3 linked regions of the Oryctolagus cuniculus genome follow. The main gene of each other region encodes a partner of the protein of the gene in region 3 in a complex. Links are inferred from orthologs where the notes say so. Each region holds a gene or a part of one and is shown on either strand. Other genes may lie near its edges. The genes, in order: CNOT6L, CNOT6 and CNOT10.

Evidence for each region.
Region 1: CNOT10 (region 3) and CNOT6L share a complex: the UniProt entries of both Homo sapiens proteins name them as parts of the CCR4-NOT complex. The link is inferred for Oryctolagus cuniculus from reciprocal best matches to the Homo sapiens genes CNOT10 and CNOT6L.
Region 2: CNOT10 (region 3) and CNOT6 share a complex: the UniProt entries of both Homo sapiens proteins name them as parts of the CCR4-NOT complex. The link is inferred for Oryctolagus cuniculus from reciprocal best matches to the Homo sapiens genes CNOT10 and CNOT6.

The regions. Positions count from the first base shown.
Region 1 is NC_091439.1:88,238,432-88,243,054, forward strand, and holds part of CNOT6L (CCR4-NOT transcription complex subunit 6-like), read left to right. Parts: intron 1-1,268; coding exon 1,269-1,426; intron 1,427-3,678; coding exon 3,679-3,833; intron 3,834-4,623. UniProt on the Homo sapiens protein: Has 3'-5' poly(A) exoribonuclease activity for synthetic poly(A) RNA substrate.
Region 2 is NC_091437.1:67,034,577-67,039,717, reverse strand, and holds the start of CNOT6 (CCR4-NOT transcription complex subunit 6), read left to right. Parts: upstream 1-1,788; 5' UTR 1,789-2,039; exon of another isoform or gene 2,040-2,125; intron 2,126-5,141. UniProt on the Homo sapiens protein: Poly(A) nuclease with 3'-5' RNase activity.
Region 3 is NC_091435.1:169,323,951-169,328,573, forward strand, and holds part of CNOT10 (CCR4-NOT transcription complex subunit 10), read left to right. Parts: intron 1-851; coding exon 852-1,013; intron 1,014-4,553; coding exon 4,554-4,623. UniProt on the Homo sapiens protein: Component of the CCR4-NOT complex which is one of the major cellular mRNA deadenylases and is linked to various cellular processes including bulk mRNA degradation, miRNA-mediated repression, translational repression during translational initiation and general transcription regulation.

The sequences.
Region 1 (4,623 bases), on a different chromosome or scaffold from region 3:
GAGGATAACTGATGAAGATTAGAATTTTTTCCGTATTTTAACATGCACATGCCTATGAATTACTTGGGAATTTTGTTAAGCTATTCAGCAGTTACATTTTGGTTAAGCTATTCAGCAGTTACATTTCAAAGCTCCCAGGTGATGTGTAGCTGATGCTACCGGTCCTTAAAGTACACTTAAAGCAAACCATCTTCTCCTATTAGTTTGTTCACAGTCCATTTATTATTCAGGGTCATTACAAAAATTATTTGAGAGAGAGACAGAGGAGAGCTCTCTTCACTGTCCAAACGCCTGCAATGCCAGGCACTGGGCCAGGCTGAGCTGAAGCCAGGAGCTGAGAACTGAATCATGTGGGTGGCAGGAACCAACTACTTGAACCGTCACTCCTGTCTCCAGGTCTGCATTAGCAAGAGGCTAGAGGCAGGTGTTGGACTCAGGTACTCCGATGAGATGAAGGCATCTTGGTCTTTTTCTTTTCTTTTCTTTCTTCTTTTTTCTTTTTTTAGATTTATTTATTTATTAGAAAGGCAGTTACAGAGAAGCAAAGGCAGAGAGAGAGAATGGTCTTCCATCCGCTGGTTCACTCCCCAAATGGCCGTAATGGCCGGAACCAGGAGCCAGGATCCTCTTCTGGGTCTCCTATACGGGTGCAGGGGCACAAGGACTTGGGCCACCTTCCACTGCCTAAGCATCTTAACTGCTAGGCCAAATGCATATCTTAATTCAAGAATATTTTAAGATGAGAATTTCGTTTGACAAATGAACATTTGATTGGCAAAAAGTATTCTCTTGTAACTAAATTTTGTTATAGTCTTTACTATTCTAGCTCAGAATAGGGTCAGCAGTACAAGACCCAGAAGAGTTTTTAGATAGTATGTTAATAAAAAGTAATGAAGTTAGAGTCCTTTAATTAGAAGGAAACTAAAATGTGCTTTTGTTCCACTGTACAGAGAAGCTTTTCTTGGCAAATTATGTACAAAAGTTAGCATGCTGATTTAAAATGAGTTTTTTTATTTATTGAAATTTCCTCAAAAATCTCAAGTATGAACAACATTCTAATTCAAGAATAGTAAAGAACTTAAATATGATGTATTCTAATGAAATTTTAGTATTTCTATTTTAGTATTTACTATGTTAATTTTCCTCTAGTCTTTTATAAAGATGATTTTTGGATTATATATGTATTCTTTTGCAGGTTATGCATGATACTGCTTTAGTAAAAGTTGCCTAATTTTCTCCCTGTTTTTTGTTTTTCTCCCACTTCTTAGCATCATTCACGGTTATGTGTTACAATGTGTTATGTGATAAATACGCCACCCGGCAGCTATATGGCTATTGCCCCTCCTGGGCATTAAACTGGGAATACAGGAAAAAGGGAATTATGGAAGAAATTGTTAACTGTGACGCAGATATCATTAGTCTTCAGGTAACACTATAGAGATTAAATTGTCTTTAACTTAAAGGTGAACTTAAAAATAATAGAAGTTCTTCCCTCTGGGAGAGATCCTTTGTTTGAAGTGAAACTCTAAAGGAATTATTTTCTTTCTCTTAAAAAAGGAACAGTTTTAATTAGCATTTAAGATATTCCACAGGGAAACTGTGTTGCTTAGTACAGCCATCCACTTAACATTAATTTGCTATTTTCTTAAATGAAAAAATAATCTTACCCATTACTCATGTTACGAGTTCATTCTATGAAAAAACCTTTGGTATTACTGAAAGAGAAAACTACAAATGATTGCTGAATCTTTTAGGAATATAAATTTAACTTACAATAGAGTTGTTAAGAAGAAAAAGTGCTTCCCCACAGTTAAAATATTATATTGTAAGTCATGCGTTTTTGCCCTACTTTGTAAGGAATTTACTCATCTGTTTTATAATTTTATTGTAACAAAGACTGAAAAATAGTCCTTTTCATGGAATATGTATCACTTTTTTTCAACATTTGGCTAATAATTAGGTAAAAAATTTATCCAGTTAAAAAGTAATTTTTTTCAGCTACTTTCCTTAGCTACTTTCAAAGCATTTTAAAGACTTAAAATTTTTTTTTTAACGTTTTGATTTGACAAATAAGAATTGTTTATATTTGGGAGAGCAGTGTGATATTTTTGATACATTTGTACATTGTAGAATGAGCAAATCAGGGTAATTAACATTTGTCACATTGGTTAAGTATTTCTTTTTTTGAAAGATTTATTTGTTTGAGAGGCAGTGTTATAGACAGAGGGAGGGACAGATAGAGAGGTCTTCCATCCACTGGTTCACTTCCTAAATGGCTGTAACAGCTGGAGGTCAGCTAATCTGAAGCTAGGAGCCAGGAGCTGCTTCTTTGTTTCCTGTGCTGGTATAGAGGCCCAAGCAATTGGGCCATCTTCCACTGCTTTCCCAGGCCATAAGCAGAGTGCTGGATCAGAAGAGAAGCAGCTTGGCACGAACGAGCACCTGCAGCCAGTGCTGCAGGCGGAGGTTTAACCTACTATGCTACAGTGCCAGCCCCTATTTTTCTGTTGTCTTGGAAATAACAAGAAGTAAACATCTTCAAAATTAAAAATATTCTTCTGAACACTAAGACTGACACAGAGTTGAGGGGAGGAAGAGGCAACCAAAATTAGACTGTTGTAGTTACTTGATTCGGTTTCATATATACAGTAGTAGTCTTGGTCTTCTAAGTACAGCTTAAAGAATAAAAACAGTTCAAGAAAATTGCTTTTCTGTGTTAAAATAATACCATGTTATAAAGTGTTTATTTTAGGGAAATTTAAATTTGCGAGAAAAGATAAAGTATTATGGAAAAAAACAATCTCATTCCTTGTCTCAAAGATAATTGCTCTGTCAAAACATCTAGAGTGTTTTCTGCATATTTTCTTTGTATTCACTTATGAATTTATTTACAGAATATTTTCAAGATAAAATTGAGACCTTAATGTTGGTATATTTTCCTTTTTGTTATAATTGTGTTTAATGCACTATTCATGTTACTAAAATTCTTAAAAACACATTAATATGTGAATATTTATTAATATAGCCTTTTCTGTACTGTTAGAAATCTAATTTTTTTGGTGTTTTGCTTTTTCCAAATTATGCTGTTTTGAGCATTTATATACATCATTATCTTTGTATTTGATTATTTCATTTTGAAATTTGTTAAAAATATTTAAGGGTCAAGGGATAAATTAGTCTAACTCAATTGTTAAATTAGCAGAGAACAAATAATGATTGACAACTCCCTAAAATATGTTAAAGTAGAATTTTTTAATCTGTTTTTCTCATTTTGGGATATCATTCCTTTTCATCATGGTTCAGCAGAATAAATAATTTTAAAACATACCTTTTTATATATCAAATTTACTGTTCCATTCTACCTTATTGGTCATATACTAAATTTACTTATTTGTTTTGGGGGAAGTATAGTGGAATGGAGTCAGGAGACCCAGGTTGTAATCTTGCTCCAGCTACTAACTACCTGTGTAAGCATGTGACGTTCAGGTCACTCTTCTGTTTTCCTCATGTTTAAGGAGTTAGCATTGTCAAATGGCAGTTGCTAGCAGTAAAGTAAGATGGTCACCTGTCATGCGAACTATTTTAATTTAATCAAGCCTACTTATAATGCTGAACATTTTCATATCTTAGCCGAAGTTATATAATGTCATGTAGATGATAACTTTTCTTTCATCTCAGGAAGTGGAAACAGAGCAATACTTCACTCTCTTTCTGCCAGCATTGAAGGAGCGTGGATATGATGGATTTTTTTCTCCAAAGTCACGTGCCAAAATCATGTCTGAGCAGGAGAGAAAGCATGTGGATGGTTGTGCAATATTCTTCAAAACAGAAAAGTGAGTTTAGGAAACAAAGCACAAAAGTCGAAACTTATTTCTTTTAATTATCACACATCTAAACTTTTCTTTGGTTTGACCCTTTAAAATAACAAAAAGCTAGAAAGCAAGTGTTGTACAATTTGAAAAACTGTTGTTAATGATTTATTTCTTAGGCCATGTTTTGGAAACAAGGATGCTTAGTATTCTATATATCTTTATTGCCAAATAACAAAATTTCTGAGACTTGAATATGGTTTTAAAATTGTGTTTAAGAATATATTTTCATAAAGTAAAATTTTTATGTAAAAAACTTACCTTTTAAGATTATCAATGTGAAATTGGATTTTTTATAGTTGACCTTTTTTCAGAATTATTCATCTTATAAACTTTTTCATTGTTTTCAATTAAAATTTCAAACTTGATTTACTTGTTCATTTATTAAATGCTTAGTGAGCATTTGTTTTGTCTCAAGTCCAATGCCAGATACAATAGACAGAAAGGAAACACAGTTTCTAATGTCATTGAAAGCTTAAGTCAAGTAGGAAAAGGTAGTCATATAAGATAACTACAAATGAAATATGTAAAGTTTGATAGAGGTTAAATCCCATGGTTGATAATTTGCATTTGATACATAAGATAGATAATCATCTACTTCATCTACCTGGTTAGCATAAACCTGCAGGGTAAGCATATACATTTTCTCCCTGATTGATACCTATTATAACAAAGTTAGTCACTTTTTATGGATACAGCTGTATTACTTGCATGGCATACTATTCGAAGTTAAAGAAGTTTAGTGAATTTGTAA
Region 2 (5,141 bases), on a different chromosome or scaffold from region 3:
GGAGCTTCTTCCAGATCTCCCATGTGGGTGCAGGGGCCCAAGGACTTGGGCCATCTCCTACATTTTTTCCCAGGCCATAGCAGAGAGCTGGATCAGAAGTGGAGCAGCTGAGAATTGAACCAGTGCCCATATGGGATGCTGGCACTGCAGGCGGCAGCTTTACCTGCTTCGCCACAGTGCCAGCCCAGAGATTGATCCTCTTATGGTGCCTGCAAGATTTAGTTATGTAACACCTGAATGAAGAAATAACCTCTTTTTTGCATAAGCCAATTTGAGTGACACTGCAACTGGATCTGAAAGGATGAACAGACATTTTACGGAGTTCTCCCCAGCTATGCAAAGAACATAATGTGCACAGGTTGGGTTGATACAGTTTCCACCCTCCACCCCATGGGGGCTAGTCCAGAGTTGACTCCAAACAAGTCTGTGGCATGGCTACTTCTGTGCTACCATGTATTTTGTGATGCAACCATTCTTGCCGTCCACCACACATACTGTGCCAATCATGAGTAAATAGCCCACTGTGGGCTGAGTAATTACAGAAAAGCACCCCTTTCTGCAGGCCAGAGCACTGGCTGCCGGGGCACAAGCACACGTGCCTGCCCTGCTGTCCCCTCAGCCTGGTACACAACTCCAGCAGCCTAGGGGCTGGTGGCCATGCTGGGCTGCTTGTTTTTACTGATCCCTACCTGTGTTGGGCTTACTGCCAGTGCCCTGCCCTGTCCCGTGTCCCGACCCTACCATTCCAGGCTGTCACTGCTTATGTCTTGGCAAAGGGCAGGCAATGCCCATCTCAAGGCAATTCTGGGGAGGAGCAAGTGTGGTTGCCTTTTAGGCCTATGCTTGTCCTGCCAAGTCTGTACCCAAGCAACAGCCCCTCTCCTTCCACACCCCCTGGAGCTGGAGGCAGTGGGTGAGTGAGGATCTCACCTGTTAGCTCTTGGAAGCCATCTCACGCTCATCTCTCAGGGTTGACTTTCCAGGCAAGATCCTGTCCTGTTGTGTCATTTAGGTGGATGGGCTTCAGTTCCTTTGTACCATACACCTCTGACTTTCCAGCTGTCTTGCCCCTATCAGTAGTTCGGGCAGGGTGAGGTCTGAGTCACCCCTGTGTCCTTTTCTCTGTTCACCAAACACCACGGCCTGCCCTGAATAGAACCTCTTGGTCTTTGAATGCAATTATGGGTGGTTTCACAGGCGAGGCCAATGCCACCAAAACCATCCATTAACTTGCAGGACTGAAACGGCCCACGTGCGTATTTTTTTCTGCATAACTGGACCAGGCAGAATTACAGGGCTGCTCAGGACCACCCGAAGTATTGCCTTTAGGCAGATTAAGATACTGGTTTAAGGTCAAAAGTCCCAAGCCTGTCTGTGTTCCCACGTGTTGACAGGCTAAGGCTTAAGGCAAAGGAGGAGACTCAAGGAAGAAGAGGGAAAAGATGAGATAAAGGAGAACCACCTGAGGCGAAAAGAGCAAGAAGGAAAAAGGAAGAGGCTTAACAACAGCAGAAAACAGAGAGGCGGGTCAGGGACTCAGAGCTCAGAGGGAAGAGAGGGCGGGAGGGCGGGCGGGCGGGGTGGAGAGCGCCGGGCCGGCTCACTGCGCTCCTGCGCGGGGGGGGGGGTAAGGGGGCGGGGCCTGGGTACCCTCCCGGGGGAGGCCGATGGTATCTCCCGCCGGCGTCGGCCAATGGGCAGCCGGGATGTTAGAGCGGCGGCGGCGGCCGGGCTGGGGGACGGCGGCCGCCGCCATGATGCTTGTTTGCTTTCAATGAAAACGAGGGGGGCGCGGAAGAGGAGGCGGCGGCGTCGGTGGCGGCGGCGTCGGCGGCGCGGGAGCGAAGGCGGCGGCGGGCGCAGCGCGGAGGGCGAGGCCGGGAGCCGAGAGAGCAGGAAGGTGTAGCGGCGGCCCATCGGGGCGTCTGAGGCCGGCGGCTGGAGCGGCAGCGCTCGGAGGGGAACAAAAGAGCGGCGGCTGAGGCGGCAGACGAGCGGCGGCGGCGGCGGCGGCGGCGCTGCAGCAGCGGGCGGGACTGGTATGGTGGTTCCACAGGTCAGACCCCGCTGCACTCACAGGGAGGAGGCGGCGGCAGCGGCGGAGGAGGGCGGCGCCCCTCGAGAGGTGAGCGAGGCGGGCCCGCGGGCCGGCCGCGCTCGGAGCCCGCTCGGTCGTGCCCGGGCTGGAGTTCCGCGGGCGCCGGGCCCGCTGCCTCGGGCAGGCGGGCGGCTGTGGCGGCCCGCGATCCCGCCCCCCCCCCCCCCCCCCCCCGAGCGCTGGCTGGGGGCGCTGCTGGACGGCGGCGGCGCGCAGGGGGGCGGGCCCGGCCCCGCCGAGCCGAGGAGCAGTCCCGGGCCCGGAGTGCCGAGGCGCAAGTGGCGCGCCGTGGAGCGTGGAACGTCGCAGTTACTGCCGAGCGGGAAGCCGACTGTTACCCCTCCCCCCGAATTGTTTAACATTGTCTGACGCCGACTTTCTTTTGGGGAGGGGGTGTTGCGAGGGTAGAGCTCACCTAGCACCGGGTGAAGAGATCTGTTTTACCGTGTTGCTACGACTCGCCTGTGGGCAGTCCCGTCGCTGCGAGCAGTTTTCTCCGGTAGCCCCAGGCACATCTCTTTTTTTATTTTTCAACACCCGGCGTTATTTTCGTTGGAAACTTTTTCCCCATCGACTCTTTTCCTCCTCTGCCTTGCATCCAGCACCTGTAACCTTATTTTATTTAACTTACTGCAGATGACAACAGTGTGACTGGTCATCTTGCTCGGCCACCTCGGATTTGTTGATGTGTTCAACTGACACAGTTTATAGAATGCTTGGATTTGAGTTCTTGTACTTAAAACCTGTTTTCTAGGTACATTGTCTCATCGCTGGCTGCTTGAGCGCCTTGCCTGCTTGTGTCTGGGGCTTTAACTTTACAGTGGGTATGAATAAGGGAAAAATAAACTGGTGTGTAGTAGCGCTTCGTATTTTTCACAATACAGTAGACTTTAACATTGCTCTAAAATAGTTCTGAAGGCTGTAGGAGCTGATGTGGCCTGTGAGAAATCGGCTTTTTTTTTAATTGCAGTGAAGACAGTCACCATAGTCTTTAGAATGTGATGAAGTCTTAAAGACTGCTTAGTATCTTTAGACCAGTGATCTAGTCCAGTCTTCTTGCCTCAAATGAACTATTTGAACAGCTGCTGATGAGGAAAGTGAAGTGCTCAGTGGTCAAAGCCACTTGCCCGAGATACTGCAATCAGAAGGGAAAGGACCAGGTTTTGTGTGCATGAGCATGTGATGTGATTGGGTGATGTCACTGCCTGACATTCTTTGGGGAGAGCAGGGGCTGTTTGGTTGAAGTTACTTAAGGTTGTTTACTCTGATCAGTTCTCAATAAGTGACCAAGATGTTTAAAGACATGCTAAAAAGAGTTTGTGACTTAAGACATATATTTTCTTTTGAGACTTCACATTCTCTGTGAAATCTATCCTTGGCATAATTTTAAGTGTATTCATCAGTGGTGATGTGGTTGAAGAAGCTGGGTTTGAATGCCTGTTCAATTGGAAGGTATTTTCACTCTTTTTTTTTTTTTTTTTTTAACCTGTTGGCAAAGTCACACTACAATTACTGGGAAACTTCAGATTGTTTTCTTTTGAACAGACAAGGCTGTGGTTTGTAAGAACTTGGGCTGCAAATAAAAGTGTTACAAGAATTTGCCCACTAGTAGTATATAAATATACATTTTGGTTGATACCCAGATATTCATTCCACTGTACACATATTAACCTTCTTATAGTCTTTTCATATCAGTGGTGCAACAGGAAAGAATATTATTATCTAAGGCCTACTGGAATAAATGTTGAGGGCTGCTTATAGCAGGAACCTTGGGGCTGTGAGGGGTGAGAGTTCAATATCTTTTTTTTTTTTTTTTTAATTTATTTGACAGATAGAGTTAGAGAGAGAGAGAGAGAGAGACAGAGAGAAAGGTCTTTCTTCTGTTGGTTCACCCCCCAGATGGCTGCTACAGCCGACGCTGCGCCGATCCGAAGCCATGAGCCAGGTGCTTCCTCCTGGTCTCCCATCCGGGTGCAGGGCCAAGCACTTGGGCCATCCTCCACTGCCTTCCCAGGTCACAGCAGAGAGCTGGACTGGAAGAGGAGCAACTGGGACTAGAACCCGGGGCCCATATGGTATGCCGGCACTGCAGGTGGAGGATTAACCAAGTGAGCCACGCCGCTGGCCCTATCAATATCTTAAGCACTTTGTTTTTTTTTTTAAAGATACTTTTTTTTTTTTTTTTTTTTTTTTATTTGAAAGGCAGAGAGGGGGAGAGACAGCAAATCTTCTATTTGCTGGTTCCCTTCACAAATGGCTGCAATGACCGGGGCTGGGCTGGGCCAGGCTGAAGCCAGGAGCCTGGAAATCTGTCTGGGTCTCACTTGTGGGTGGTAGGGGCCCAAGCACTTGGGCTGTCTTGCTGCTTTCCCAGGTGCATTAGCCAGAGGTAGATTGGAAGTGGAACAGTGAGGACTCGAACCAGTGGTTGTATGGGATGCAGATGGCGGCTTCACCCACTGCATCACCACATCAGCCCCTTTACAGCACTTTTGTAACCCATTTCCATGTGCTAGGTTAACTGTTGGAGAGAAACACTGCTTTTAAAGCATTTATCACTTTGGAAAAGTTCAGGTAGGTTTAGATAGGAGCATGTATTTTACTGGAGAAAAGATTTTGATTCGTGTATATGCAGAACTGTTTGCACTTTTGTTGTGATTGGAAATTAGTACATTATCTAGAGGAGTTTTCATTTTAATTTTAAAATTCCCTAACTTCTGGCAGGCGCTGCGGCTCACTAGGCTAATCCTCCGCCTTGCGGCGCCGGCACACCGGGTTCTAGTCCCGGTCGGGGCACCGGATTCTGTCCCAGTTGCCCCTCTTCCAGGCCAGCTCTCTGCTGTGGCCAGGGAGTGCAGTGGAGAATGGCCCAAGTGCTTGGGCCCTGCACCCCTTGGAAGACCAGGATAAGTACCTGGCTCCTGCCATCGGATCAGCGCGGTGCGCCGGCTGCGTTGGTGGCCATTGGAGGGTGAACCAACGGCAAAGGAAGACCTTTCTCTTTGTCTCTCTCTCTCACTATCCACTCTGCCTGTCAAAAAAA
Region 3 (4,623 bases):
TAATAGTTAAATGTAGTTTTGTTTGATAATAGTTAAATGTAGTAAGAGGTATGTAAGTGTGATTTTAAATGCAGTGAAAGCAAGGGAAGTCCTTGGAACCATTCCCAAGTTTCTGTGTTTTCATAAACATGTTTAGCTCTCACATTGTTGTGTTTTGAAGTCTTTTAAATGTACTTGTAAAGATGTAGGTCGATGCTTTCATTTCACTGCTCTCCGATTCTTTGTCCTGGATATCCTCTAAAGTGGGATGCCAGGGGTTGGTGTGGGGGAGCAGCCACGTGGCGGTTTGGGCCTGGGATCCAGGTGGAGCTCCTGGCTCCTGGCTTCAGCCCAGCCTCGCCCTGTCTGTTGAAGGCGTTTGTTGAGTGAACCAACAGAAGATTGCGTCCTTTATCTCTGTCCCTCGGCCTTTCAGATAAACAGATAGCCAAAACTTTTAAAAGTTAATTTAAAAAAACTCCAGAAGGCTATCGTCATAATTTTAGCTTTTCTAACATTAAGTGATATGAAAGAAAACTTTGATTATCAAGGTCATATATATATAGCAAAATGGGATACTTGAATATTCAAAGAAATTACAATTTGAGATACTTATATCCAACTGTATGTCTGACAGACAGATGTGTCCCTGTCAGTGTGAGTCCTAGGAAGTACATATATACAGTTTCTCAATTGACATGAAAATTGTTTCGTGTAACTGATCTGTTTGGGGGAACTATATCTTTCATTTTAAGAATATTTAAGGTAAAAATGAATACAATGTACTTGGGGATGGTTATTGTTCTGAACACTGGTATGTAATTGTATGTGTGTGTGAATGTGTGTGTGTGTTTTTGTTTTTGTTTTTTTAGTCTGGAAATTACGATGCCTGTCTACAACACCTCGCCTGTCTACAAGATATAAACAAAGATGATTATAAAATAATTTTGAATACAGCAGTAGCTGAATTTTTTAAAAGTAACCAAACAACAACAGATAATTTGAGACAAACACTTAACCAGCTGAAGAATCAGGTGATATGCAAATGAATTTAACTATTTAAAATGTTATTATATTCTTGAATTTGTGAAATATAGCTAGTTAAGGAAAATATAATTACTTGACTGATATTAATGGCATAATTTCTAATGTATCTGAAATATTTGTTGGAATTAAACTTCCTTAGTTAAAATTATTAATCTAGGCAATGAAAAATATGTTGTATGGGTTTTTTTCTGTTTTTTTTTTTTTTAATGAGCTTGAACATGATAGAACAATATGTGAAATTTGAATGGGCTTTGGAGTTTTGAAGGTTGAAGTAGAATTGTATGGAAGAACTTGGCTTCTGAGGTGCTCCTATCTTGTTAATGACTGCAGAGACAATGAGTAGTGTCTGCCTGTCCTGGCGTTTGGGATCAGGGACGGATTGTCACCGTGCGACCAGGCCCTACCAGGAACCTTATGCAGTGTCTCAGCCACTCTGCCCAGTAGTCCCGTGAGCAGCTGCCGTGGCGTCCCCTCTCGCAAGTGGGGAAGCTGAGGCATGGAGGGCGTGTACAAGACTGCGTTAGGACGAGCCTTGTGAACGCAGGCGTGTCTGCTGCAGAGCCCGCGCTCTGTCACTGCTTTGTGCTGTAGGGGCTCTTGAAACTCCGTACTGTTGTGAATACCCTGTACCGTACAGTATCAGCCTAAAGTACGGCTCAGTTGGAAATGAATATCCCTTGGGCTCTTGCTAATTCTTTCTAATTCTTTTTATTTTTTTTTAAGATTTTATTTATTTATCTGAAAGGTAGAGTTACAGACAGTGAGAGGGAGAGACAGAGGCTAATTCTTTTTTTCTTTTTTTCTTTTTTTCTTTTTTTTTTTTTTTTTTTTTTTTTTTGACAGGCAGAGTGGACAGAGACAGAGAGAAAGGCCTTCCTTTGCCGTTGGTTCACCCTCCAATGGCCGCCGTGGCTGGCACGTTGCGGCCGGCGCACCACACTGATCCGAAGGCAGGAGCCAGGTGCTTCTGGTCTCCCATGGGGTCCAGGGCCCAAGCACTTGGGCCATCCTCCACTGCACTCCCTGGCCACAGCAGAGAGCTGGCCTGGAAGAGGGGCAACCGGGACAGAATCCGGCGCCCCGCCCGGGACTAGAACCCGGTGTGCCAGCGCCGCAAGGCAGAGGATTAGCCTAGTAAGCCACGGCGCCGGCCACTAATTCTTTTTTGAGGTCATTTTTTTGACTCTACGAAAATTCTTTATCAAAGAATGAGAACAGCCAACATTTATTGATTGACTACTGAATGCCAGATTCTGTATTAAGCACTTCTTCTGCCTTATCTCATAAAATCCTTACATTCAACCCTTGAGGAAGATACTTGTTATTGGGGTTTAGGAAGTCCAATGATTTTAATTTATGCAACTAGTAAGGGGAGGAGCAGGATTTGAAGTGAACCTCCTGCATGTGTAGCCCCCTTGGTGTTCCTAGACCATCACCTTCCGTTGTAACTTTACACGTGACTCTCTCTGGAGTTCCAGGATCAGAGGAAAGATGACGTTTGCCCCTACCTAGGGTGACACCCCTCTGCTCCATGGGCCATTTCCTTCAAAGTCATGGAAATGTTCTCTTAGAATACAGGGTTTGTGCAAGCTTACTGTTAAGCCAAGAAAACCTGCTTTTTGAAGTCCTTTTGTTGGTCCAGTGCCTTCCGAGCATTTGGTTTCCTAGAAGTGTTTGTACTTAATGTCTTCTGGCTTCTCTAAGTCGCGTGTCCACGGTCGCGTGTCTTAGGGGCAGTGACATGGTTTTTCCACCTACTCCACTTTCATCAATGTTTTATCTCCTTGATCGAGCAATCTTGTTCTGCCTTCAGCAGTTATTGGATTATTTTTGGTGAATCATAAAAAATGTGGCAGTTATTCAAGTGGTAAATTCAGCCGGAGCTGAATTCAGACCGCTTTGTCTGAAATACCCCTCGCTGGTTAAAAATTAGAATTAGCCCTTCCTTAGCTCATTCTTTCTCTGAGTTCTTTCTTTTTAAGGAGACGATCTTTAATCATTTGCAGATAGAAACTTGAAATGGGAAGGATGTCATAAAGAGCTCCCAGGGACCGGCGCTGTGGCGTAGCAGGCAAAGCCTCTGCCGGCGCCAGCATCCCATATGGGTGCCAATTCCTGTCCTGCCTGCTCCACTGCCGATCCAGCTCTCTGCTTTGGCCTCGGAGAGCGAAAGATTGCCTAAGTGCTTTGGCCCCTGCACCCATGTGTGAGACCCAGAGGAAGATCCTGGCTCCTGGCTCCTGGCTTTGGATCAGCTCAGCTCCAGCTGTTGTGGCCATCTGGGGAGAGAATCAGCAGATGGAAGATCTCGGTCTCTGTCTCTTCTTCTCTCTGTAGCTCTACTTTTCAAATAAATAAAATCTTAAAAAAAAAAAAAAATCTCCCAGACTCAATGAAGTGTACACGCTGGTGGTCGTCAGGTACCATTTGCTAATATTTACCCTGTGTTGGGCTCACCACAGTGACGAGTCTGCGGAAGTCCAGTTACAGATCACGCTGTGTTCTGAACCCTCGGGTTCTTACCATTAGCCAGGCAGAGGTTGGTAAGGCCACGTGCCACAGTTCCCCTGCATGACTTAGGGAAGTGTCATTAGTTATATGAGAATTAATTATGTAGTGTTACAGTCGTTTATTGCAGTCTTCATAATGACAGTGGATTAGTGTTAACATAGGTGGAATTCCAATTGCATGTATTATATGGAATTAAGAATGGCTTACAAGCCCATTGCCCCAGTTCAGGGAAGGGGCTCTACAAATGTCATGAGCTTTAAAATATAAGTGTTGATTCTTGTTCTTCTGATCGGCTTGAGAGCTAGGGTTTCAGAATAGCCCTTGAGAGCCTGTTCTGACCATCTTGTGTGACATCGTGTATTTTTGGTTTTCATTACTTTAGAAAAATCTGTTCTTTTTAATTGGGAACAGAATCTGAAAATATGCTTCCTAGCCATGTATCCTTGGATAGCATAATGAAGCATTCTGTGCTGGTTTCCACGATTATAAAATGGAGATTCCATGTATGTCCTAGAGGGTAGAGAGGATTAACCTGGCAGGCCTGGCGCACGGTAAGTACTTAGCTGCTGCTGTTAATGTTTACATTTCACTTTAGTTTTTACAACATGGAATCCAGCCGTCCGTATCGTATAATGCTTTGTGGGGAGAGGCCATTTGGGGTTTTGCCCCTTCTCCGTGTTGACTCTGGCAGTGCAGGAAGCTGGAAGTGGGCGTCCCGCTCGGAAGCCACAGCGGGGAAGGTACCGTCAGCGTGGCGAGGAAGAGCCGGGCCCTGCCGTGTGCAGGGTATTTAATAAAGTGCAGCAAAGCTGTCTGCTTAGGAGATTTGTATTCTGCTTGGACAGATGAATGACACGATTTTTACAGCGCGAGAGTGATCAGAAGACAGCGGTCCTGTTGGAAGTGTGGGGAAGTCCAGACTGAGGGGTGCTGGCCCGGGTCCCTGCTTGCTGTGGGTTATTTCACTCTCTTCCTTCCTCACAGTCAGAACACAGTCGTGGCTTGTCGTTTCGCAGGTGCACTCAGCTGTTGAAGAAATGGATGGGCTAGACGACGTGGAGAACAGCGTGCTGTATTACAACCAGG